Arabidopsis thaliana: one gene and its partner. The protein of the gene in region 1 interacts with the protein of each later gene in a pairwise test. Each region holds a gene or a part of one and is shown on either strand. Other genes may lie near its edges. The genes, in order: UBA2A and AT5G52547.

Region 1 (6,130 bases):
ATTTGATAAATAGCCACACGACGACGAATTCATCAAATCGAGCCTAAATCGGAGGCGAAAGTAACCTTTTTTCTAAGGTAGAGTGGCGAAACATGCAGAAGAGAGACGAGAAGAAGAGAACCCAGAAATCAAATCGAAGGAAATGGCAGAGAGAAATCACGGCGTTGTAGCAATCAGAAAGAGTCTTGGGAATTGCATGCAGCATCGAAGGCTATCAAATGCAGATACTAAACATGGAAATCGCAACACAAGGACAATCAAACTCTTGCGAGGTACAGACTTTTCGAAGAAGAAGAATAAATCAAAAACTTAAGCAAGAGAAAAAGCAACAATCTTTTGGAGCTTAAAAAGGACCAGATCTAAAACATGGCAAGTTTGGGTTTTTCTTTCTCAAAAGAGAAACGAAACTATGATAAGTGCAGAGACAGATTTACAAAGCAAACCTAAACTCTGTGTCTGTGTGTGTCTGAGTCTCTCTCTCTCTCTTCGTTTTGTTTTCGCGCAGGAGAGGAAAAAAGAGAAGAGAGAGAAAACCTTTTGATTGAGAAAGTGACACTCGATACTGTGGCAATGCCCCCCTCTCAAGCCTCCTGTGGAATTTTCAATGCGTTTCTTCTTTTTTTAGTTGCCCAAAAATGGTTTCTCAAACTTTCGATCAAAATAAGAAACAGAGGTTTGTTTAAACACTTAATGATTAGTGATTAACTTAAATGAAGGTGGAATCAATAAACACTACATGTGCTCGGAGACCCTTCATTCATTTAGCTTCAATGGGAATTTAGGTAGATTGATTATCAAACTTTAATCAGAAAAGGTTATACATATACATGTTTATGTTCTTTGGCTCTCAACACTAATCCTCATGCCTATGAGTTTCTCTTTAAATGGTAAGTGATTACTATAAATTAATCTGCAATCATGTTAAACCATTTTTAGGCAATAATTTACATGTATTTTTTTGCAATATTGAAATCTCAAACCTTTAATTATACTTTCTATTATCCAATCTCAGATTGGGTTTTATGAACATTGAATGTGGCTTTGAAGAATATTGCATCTTGGATTCTCTTCATCAATGAAGGACCTTTTTCCCTTTTCGAAACTTGACATAACAATTGAGAGATTGTTGACTTGAGATCAAATACACAAAACTCTACTACTTACTTCCCCCAATTCCACTTCAGCTTCATATTCTGCTTCTCTTCTTCATCATCAATGAACCCTTCTACTATGTATCATCATCATAAATAATATTCAAAGCTGCACTTTTCCAAAAAGAGATTTCACCATCAAAGCAATCATCACCAAAAAAACTTTATGCATTCACGCCTTTATAAACTCCTCTGAAACATTAAGGGAAATAATATATCACCTCGTACTCTTGTGACTTTTCTAATAATCCCTGAACCTTGTGCACAAGGACCTGAAGGTACATGCTCTCTAGACCAAAACCAACTTTTATCACTTCAAAGAGGGACTAGGACCAATAAACAAGAACATATATAGGCAAGAGATTCGCACTGAGAGATATACTTTTAACACTTTTGATTACTTACCCTTCAATTGGAAGCACGTTGTATATAGCCAAAGAAGATACTCAACACTTTGAACTTACCTTTTAGTTGCAAGCATGTTGTGGAGATCCAAAGACTTAACTGCCTGTTGTCGAGAAACTCTATTCGATAGCTTCCACTTTTCAAATATTGAGAAATTGCCTCAGAAAGATCATTCTTCAGCTGTGTCGTTGAGAAGCTTGCACCACTTCCCACCAAGTTTGACTGTTCCAAGTTGGCTGCAACTTAGTAATTTTATGACAAATAAGTTTGGAAACAAAGTTCTAATTTGAAATAGTCATTGTAAAAACTTTTGAAACTTGTCATAGAAAATCCAAAAACACAAGTGAGAGAGCTCTGCTGCATTTTAAAATTCCAAGTTTTGATCATTTCAGAACCAATTGCATTCAGATTAGTATATGTGTGCTAAAGAAATTTCATTGACAGTTAGGGGTACATAATCTGGCTGTTCAACCGCAGTCAATTACCTGCAAGAGGAATAATTGAACAAACATAAAATCAGGATAGTACATAAAGCCAGGTTAATCAAGATAACTTGGTACAAAATACACTGCAGGCAGAAAAACACATGAAATCGTAAAACAGAGAAGTCAATAAAAACTATTTAGGAAAAACTAGAGTTCGATAAGCAAAGACCCACATGGAGCGTAGTTGCGCTTTTTTAGTTTTACAAATGAAAGTCTAAGGGGGATATTCAGAAAACTGAAAAAATAGAGACATAAACACTGAAAATAGTAGTACAAAGTTTTTTTTAGGAATTTCATAAAGAGAGTTTGGGAAAAACAAGTAGATGAAAACTAAAACTCCTTAAAAGGTTTTTTATGAGTTTGGCCTTAGGAGTGACCAAAGAGTAACATTTCATAAAGACTTCATTTAGCATCAGCTCCTTATAAACTTGAGAAGAATCACCAGGCCAATATTAAAACACTGATTTCTGATATCTGCACAATGAATTTAAGAAAATAAGAGAAGTAACATGCTTTAACAACCGTTGCAAAATCCCCCAAAACTCCAATGCAAACAAAAACCATGTGGATATACACAGAAACTTCTTGTCTTCAGACATCAGTAAGTTAATATATACTGAGGAAAGACATTTCAACAATTAAACAAGGGAAATTCATTGCTCTACCTGAGTGGATGGATACATGATACATTTAGTGACCCATGTAAGGAGTACCGTATGGCCCGACACCATGTTGCCCTCTACTTGTACCGCCTTGACCAGGTTGCGGAGTCTGATAACCGCCTTGCAACCCAGGTTGTGTACCGTACCCAGGCATTGTCCCCGGTGCCATAGCTTGAGTACCGTAACCAGTTGGCATTCCAACTCCATTCCCTGGGTTTACACCAGCAGCTGTCCCCAAGGAACCCAACAAAGCCTGTCCAATTGCCGGATTAAAAGCCAAACCAGCTCCCTGAGATGCCAATAAAGCTGTCAAGGCCTGTCCAATGGCCGGGTTTATCACCTGTGCCGTTGGACCACCCATCCCAGCTGGGTTACCAGCCATGAGATGTCCATGACCTCCAGGCGGACCATAACCATTGTTATCATTCCTTTGGTAACGAGGATTGTTATAGGCGTGTGGGTTATGGTGATGCTGCTGCTGCTTGCCCGGTTTGGGACCATCGATAGCTTTCTGGCAATGCAAGATATGGCCTTCAAAAGTCTTGTGTGGCTCCTCCAAAGCCCTCTTGGCGCTTTCAGACGACTTATAAACAAAGAGACAGAAACCTTTAGGTCTCCCAGTATACTTATCAAGACCCAAAGGACCTTCTTCAATTTCTCCAAACTTTGAGAAAAACATCAGCAACTTCTGTGGATCAAGCTCTGCTCCGACATTACTAACATAAATCTTTTTCTGAGTATGCTCCGAGTTCGAATGCTGAGCAGGCGCTGAAACAGCTGCAGCAGCGATAGGAGCTCCACCAAAGACAGGTCCTTTAGAAGCCAATTGGCATGCCGTCATACGACTACCAATCTTCTTCTGAGGCTGCTTGAGTGCGTTGCGAGCACCTGAACGAGACTTGTACAGAATAAAGCCATAACCTTTAGATTTCCCTGAGATCTTATCAAACACAGCCTTGCAATCTTCGATCTCTCCGTACTGCTTAAAAGCTTCAATAAGCGTCTCTGTTTTCGTATCCCAACCAAGACCGTGCACAAAGATCTTCCGATGAACAGGGTCCTCATCAGCTACTTCCCTAATTCGATTGGCTACATCAACATGCTTCTCCGCTGCTTCCTTAAGAAGACTCAAAACTTGCTCCTTTGAAAATGGTTCCAACAGATCCTGAATTGGTTCATCGTCATCATCTTCTTGATTGCCAGATCCAGACGTCGCCGCCGCCTCTATACGATTCCCATCCGTCTGATCCTCATTCTCATCACCATCATCTTCATCGTCATCATCTTCTACTTCTTCTTCTTGCTCTTCCTCTACTTCCTCGTATTCAACTTCTTCAACGTCTCCTTGATTATCCTGATTTTTAATTACAAGCTGCTGCTCCTCCTCCGGCGTCTGCTTCAGCTTCTGCGACGGTTCTTCAGCTTCGTTAGATTCTTCTCCTTCGAGCTTTCTCTTCTTTGTCATTTTCGAATTCTAATGGAGATTTTAGGGTTTCGAATGTTTTCTTTGGTTTCTTCTCCAAAAAGCTGATTTTCCCCTCCTTATCTATAATGCGCCGCTATGTGGGTGGTATATCATCAACCTCAAGTCTTTGCTAAGTGGATTTTTACACATTTACCCCTAACCATTTTATATATATAAGCCCATTAATGATTATTGGGCTTTAAGTTTAAAGACCCATTTACGAAAAGATGCTTAAGTAAGAAAAAAAGAATAACGTCAAAGTTCCCGCCATGTGTTTCCCGCGAGACTTGACGGCTCATAAGATTAGTCAGAACTCAGAAGACAAGACAACCAAAGAAAAGGTTTCGCCTCCCTTCTTACAAAGAGCTGCAATTTTCAGTCTCTTGGTCTTCTTCTTCGTCTTGTTTTCAAATTAATGTCTCTCTGTCTCTTTAGTGAACCCTAGATCCAGAAATTAGAGTTTGGAGCCCAGGATTCGGCATTCATTTCCCTTCTCTATCCAATTAAGCGTTGATTAAGACTTAAGGTAAATTCAATGTCCTAGATTCAATTTCTCTTTGATTCATTCATCTACTTTACCCAGATCTGCTCTTTACCATTCTCGAATCGATACAGCTACAAAAAAAATTGATGTAGCGAAATTAGGGTTTTCGCCGCCCATTGTGAATTTCATTTTTTAATTTGCATGTCCTTTTTCGTGGTCAGATTTGTGCAATTGATTTTCTAAGAAAAGAGTTTTGGTTTCAAATTGTGTTTAGTAGCTAATTGATGTTCGTTTCTCTGATTGGCTTAATGAAATTTAGGATTCTGGTTTATTGTTGTTAGCACTTAGCAGTATCCTTACCGGTAATTCCTTTGTTTGTTTCAATCCAGGAGCGCGGGGATTATACGAGCTTAATCAGTTGTTAGCAAGTAATTATCTGATAGTTACAATGGTGGAGTTAAGAAGTAGCACACACTTGAACTCTCATGTACATTATATCCGAACCATTAAAGACGGATCTATCAAAATAGTGATGAATATGGATGGCAGAAGAAAACCAAAGCTCAAATTTAGACAGTTGGTGGATATATACAATCTTGAAGACAGTCAAGGTGTTGAGTCAATTCCAAGAGTAGTCAGGGATTTGGACAATGGTTCTGATTTTACACAAGGTTCTGAGTCTGAAGATTTTAGCATGACAACATTGGAGATGATTCAGAAACAATGCAAAGAAAGGAAAAGGAAACTTAGAAACTGCAGAGATACTACTACTGAGACATTCTCGAACGTTGAAGTTAAAAAAGAGTATGTGACCCAAGATGAAGGATGTGATATTGAGGAGCCTCTTAGCAGTTGGGATACGAAATTCTCCAAGAGAAGGAAGAAGAAGCAGGAGCGTAAAAAAGCAAAGTGTGGTACTTCTACTTCCTCTCCTCCATCTGTGGAAAAGGTTGATTTGCCGTTGGTGCTCTTTCATGTCAAGCCTGAAGTTTGGGATGATAGCTATTCAGTTTCTGAAGCCATGGATTGTAGTGAAAAGTCAGAATCTCCTATAAATACAGTGTTGGTGGAAGAAATAATGCTTGATTCGTCCAGTGACATGAGGCTGGTTCCATACTGCAGTGCAGAGCCAAATTTTCCCGGAGTGGTAGCCATTGAGGAAGCTTTTGAAGATGCATCAGAAGAGTTTAGCGATGCTGATTTTCAGAATAAGCAAATTGTTTTGTACTCTAGTGTGTCTAGAGAGGAGATGGAATTGGATGTTAATCCACAACATTCAGAATATGAGAACATTGGTTGTGTAAAGAACTTCATTTCTGCTTACACAAGCTCTGGGTGCGAAGAAGAAGATAAAGAGGATGAGGAAAGCAATGATATAAAGGCTAACTTAGATATGAGTGTAACTGGTTTGGAGATTGTGAAGATAGAAGCTCCAGAAATACTTGCTATTGATTACCCCGGTTGTTTGTCCATCATCA
Region 2 (4,355 bases), on another chromosome or scaffold:
AGAGGCTTCTCCATGAGAATTGCAGTTGTTTAGTAAGCACAAAAGAAGATAAACCTTAAGCTCTCTATCTATTGAACAAGATCTGTGGTCAAATTTATTGTCTGTTCTAAGTGTGATTGATGAACTTAGAGTAACTATTCCCCGACATGAATCTTAATCTTACAATAATCAATTAAGAGAAACACCAGAAACAATTCAAAATTGGACAGAAATCCCTAAATTCATCGCCAAAACCTCATGGATTTCGTTGAGTGGTGGTAATTACTAGCTAGTCAACCTAGGCACCTACTTCGATTACAACTGAACAACGATGGAGAGAAGAAGCAGAGAGTTCATATGCAACTTGGGAACTAATAACAGATGAAAAATGTTGTAAAGATTTAGAGAGTATCCATGGAAAGCAACTTACAAAGCTAAAGCGTGATCTCACAGACGCAGACTTCAATAAAAAAAAAAAAGCAGGAGCAGCAGAATCGGAATTTATGGCTGTAACCAGTAAAGGACTATCCGGTTAAACGAGAAAACCGAACCGGTGATTCGGACAAAATTAGTCAATTGTCATTCATCAAGTTATAAAGCCAGCTGACTTTATTAAACGACGTCGCTTCATTTTAACCAAATAAAAGCATCTCCATATTTACCAATTGAAATAATACAAAATCAAAAGTTTGGGATACATCTGAAGGGTTTTTACCTTTTAAATTTTAACAACCTCTATGAAAATATAAACATTTGAAAAAAATGTGAAAGTGTTTGGGATACATTTGACTCTCAAAACTTGACACAGACTCTACACTCTCAAAACTTGATACACTCACAAAATTTGACACACAAACTCAAGTGAATCTTCACACGACCATAGCCTATATACTTCTACACAAAACAGAACAACACTTGCATGTACTTGCTATTTATGCTTCCTTGAACTCTTGCATCTCGACATGGACTTCATCCTTTTAAACTCTGAAATCGAATTTAAATTCATTTAGAACAGAACACAAACCAATCCATTTGAACACTAACACAAACCAATTAGAACAGAGCACAACCAAACCAATTTAGAACAGAACACAAACAACTTAAGATTCATAACCTAACTGAACAAAAACAAGTGAAGAAGCGTTAACCGAAACAAAAAAGACTAACTTTCAAGACATAAAAGACACCATTCAAGCATTTGACAATATGTCAGTGATAAGTTTGTTCTTTAAAGCCATTTCAAGATCACTAAGCGGCGCTGTTTTTCGAAGTAGAGTCTCCAACAACGTCTTCTTGCTAAGCTTCTCGTTCAATTCAAATTCCTTCTGCTTAATCTCCCACATGCTCTTAATCACTGACAGAGTCCTTTTAGCTTTCGCGGCCTTTGCCGCCTTAACACCTGATGGACGAGACATTGCTTCATCTGAATGGCTAACTGCCTGGGAGCTTGATGACTGTGCAGAAGCTTGAGATCCATCGCTTTCTTCATCTACAAACCCACCAGTATCCTGCAAGGTATATGTAAAAGTATTTAGAAGATGACACAAAGTAACATAAAGACAGAATAACAAACAAGATCTGTCATTCTACAGTTGGTTTCAATCGCGTGTTTACAAGTTTGATCCTCAATAGAAAAAGCTAGACAAAAATCAACTTGAAAGAGTTTGAACTGACATGAACAAAAATTGCATTAGAGATTGGTGTTACCATTTGATTGCAGAAACAACTAGAGTGAGAAAAGTATTGTTCCAAGCTCAAGAACTTAAAAAAGAATGTATAGTCTGCAATTCTGCATCCACCTGAAAATAACAGCTCTCAAGATTTCAGTAAGAGTACAAAATAAACACTTAATAGTAATGTATCACATAAGGACCATAAAACCGAAAATAATGGCATATGACCAATTGTTCATCAAAAGCTACAAAAGAAATGCATAAACCAATCTAACAATACTACAGTAACTCAATATTTCCTAATCACTATTAAAAAAACAGAGGCTTCTCCACGAGAATTGCAGTTAGCTCTCTCTATTGAACAGGATCTGTAGTCAAATTTATTGTCTGTTCCAAGTGTGATGAACTCACAATAATCAATAGTTCAAAACAGCTCAATTAAGAAAAACACCAGAAACAAGCCAAAATTGAACAGAAAACCCTAATCACTAGTTAGTCAACCTAGTCACCTACTTCGAGCACATCTCGACACACAACTGAACAACGCTGGAGAGAAGAAGCAGAGAGTTCATATACTTAGGAACTAATAACAGATGAAGAATGTTGTAAAGATTTAGAGAGTATCAATGGAAAGCAACTTACAAAGCTAAAGCACGCAGACTTCAATAAAAAAAAGCAGGAGCACCAGAATCAGAATTTATGGCTGTAACTACTAACTAGTAACTAGTAAATGTCTATCCGGTTTAACATAAAACCGAACCGGTGATTGGAACGTCAAAAATTAGTCACTCACCAAGTCAGAGACCACGTCGTTTCATTTTAGTTAAATGATTCTCGCAACGTCCGAATTTTTACTTTGAAGTTTGAAGCTATTGCTAGTAGCCTAGTAGTATTGAAAATGCCAGTGAATTGAGAAGGATTAAATTAAGTACAACCACAAAGGAAACAAAAACACAGATCGTATGAGTCTCACTTCACTAAAAAGCTAAAGAGAGATGAAGGATTTGCACAGTGTAAGAGACGAAAAAGTTGTTTTGGTTGTGTAAAATAAAAAACAGCACACAAACTTTTAATAAGTTACAAATGCTTGGGAATTATGATACAGTCGTCATCTTCTGAACATCCCATTGAAGACAATTGCGTCAACGTCAGTATTCTCAGAGATCTGTAGTGACGACACAGCTTGAGTATCAAACAAATCAGCTGATATTCCCATGTTGTTGTTGTTGTTATCCCATCCCCTTGCGAAAGGCTCATATGAGACTGACGACCAGTTACTGTCTCTTGTTCTGTTGTTATCATGAACCGCGTAGCTTGAGCACCGTTGGTGAGGAAAGAATCTGTTTATTCCACCACTAAAAAGATTGATTTTGGTAGTATAGTCCCATGGCTTGAAACCTGTTTCTTGGTTTAGCGTGTTTCGGTATGAGTCATCACAATCTTCGCCAAGTAAGACGTGCAGAGCAACAGCCTCTGCTATGGCGGCACCTTCCTCATCCAATCGCCTTTGTTCCTCAAGTTTTCTAAGCTTCTTCTTCTCTAGCTCAGCCCTGATGGCTGCAGAAGTAGCGATGGATTTCTCAATACGTCTCTTTTTCCTCTCTGCTTGTTTGATACGCTCCAGTTCCTCTCTCTCCTGCTTCTTCTTTGCAGCATATGCTGAATCTTCTTCAACTGCTGCGTCTAGCTGTCCTTCCTTCTTCATTTGCTTCTTCTTCTCTAGCTCAGCGCGGATCGCTGCAGTAGTAGCAATAGCTTTCTCAAGACGTCTCTTTTTCTTCTCAGCAATGGCAGCACCTTCCTCAGCCAATCTCTTTTGTTCCTCAAGTTTTCTAAGCTTCTTCTTCTCTAGCTCAGCCATGATGGCTGCAGAAGTAGCGATGGATTTCTCCAGCCGATTCTTTTTATTCTCTGCTTGTTTGATACGCTCCAGTTCGTCTCTCTCCTGCTTCTTCTTTGCAGCATCTGCTGAATCTTCTTCATCTGCTGCCTCTAGCTGTCCTTCCTTCTTCATTTGCTTCTTCTTCTCTAGCTCAGCCCGAATTGCTGCAGAAGTAGCAATAGCTTTCTCAAGACGTCTATTTTTCTTCTCAGCTTGTTTAATTGGGTCCACTACACCTTTTACTTTTTTCTTCCTGGCTTTTCTAACAATTGGCTGAGCTTGTTTGCACATCGAGCTACTGCTATCCATGATTGCTACAAGTCTTTGTTTGCCTTGCTTTTGTTAACTGGCTTCTTCTTTTAGTTGGTTGTTTCCTTTTACTTTGATTCTACCAAACTCACTACACCAAGGCGCGATGATCTCAATGACTACTACACCCACTCAGGTATGTAGGTATACCTCATTTTACGGACAATACAATCCCAAACAGAAACAACAGGAGATAAGAGAAGGGAGACGTTGTAGGAGTTTGCAGAGTTATCCTTTGAAAGCATTCGTCCTAATTTCCAACATCCCTTAACTTCTCCCATTTTCTACAAAAGAAAACAATACTAGATTAGACTTGCGTTAACAGGGATCTCAAAAATAATATACCAAACCAAACCAACCCATCTGCTTTCTTAACCTAATGAAAGCTGCACGACCACACAGTTCTATTTTCTATATGGCTATATGCAAAAACATTAAACAAGAAAGCTTTTTCACAACCAGATGTTACCCAGCTGATTACTTAATTACTCACTCAGGTTACCAACCTATAA

Evidence for each region.
Region 2: the proteins of UBA2A (region 1) and AT5G52547 interact in a two-hybrid assay, tested with the Arabidopsis thaliana proteins (one large-scale study listed by BioGRID).

What each region holds. Positions count from the first base shown.
Region 1 is NC_003074.8:21,047,977-21,054,106, forward strand, and holds UBA2A (UBP1-associated protein 2A), read right to left. Parts: upstream 4,345-6,130; 5' UTR 4,169-4,344; coding exon 2,732-4,168; 3' UTR 2,707-2,731; exon of another isoform or gene 1,779-2,706; 3' UTR 751-1,778; downstream 1-750. Other genes in the region: AT3G56870 (uncharacterized protein), read left to right, coding at 5,101-6,130. UniProt on the Arabidopsis thaliana protein: Heterogeneous nuclear ribonucleoprotein (hnRNP)-like protein that acts as a component of a complex regulating the turnover of mRNAs in the nucleus. Binds with high affinity to RNA molecules that contain U-rich sequences in 3'-UTRs.
Region 2 is NC_003076.8:21,325,154-21,329,508, forward strand, and holds AT5G52547 (uncharacterized protein), read right to left. Parts: upstream 2,346-4,355; 5' UTR 2,295-2,345; intron 2,285-2,294; exon of another isoform or gene 2,154-2,284; intron 1,898-2,153; exon of another isoform or gene 1,779-1,897; 5' UTR 1,690-1,778; coding exon 1,687-1,689; intron 1,488-1,686; coding exon 1,170-1,487; 3' UTR 710-1,169; downstream 1-709. Other genes in the region: AT5G52550 (stress response NST1-like protein), read right to left, coding at 2,761-3,843.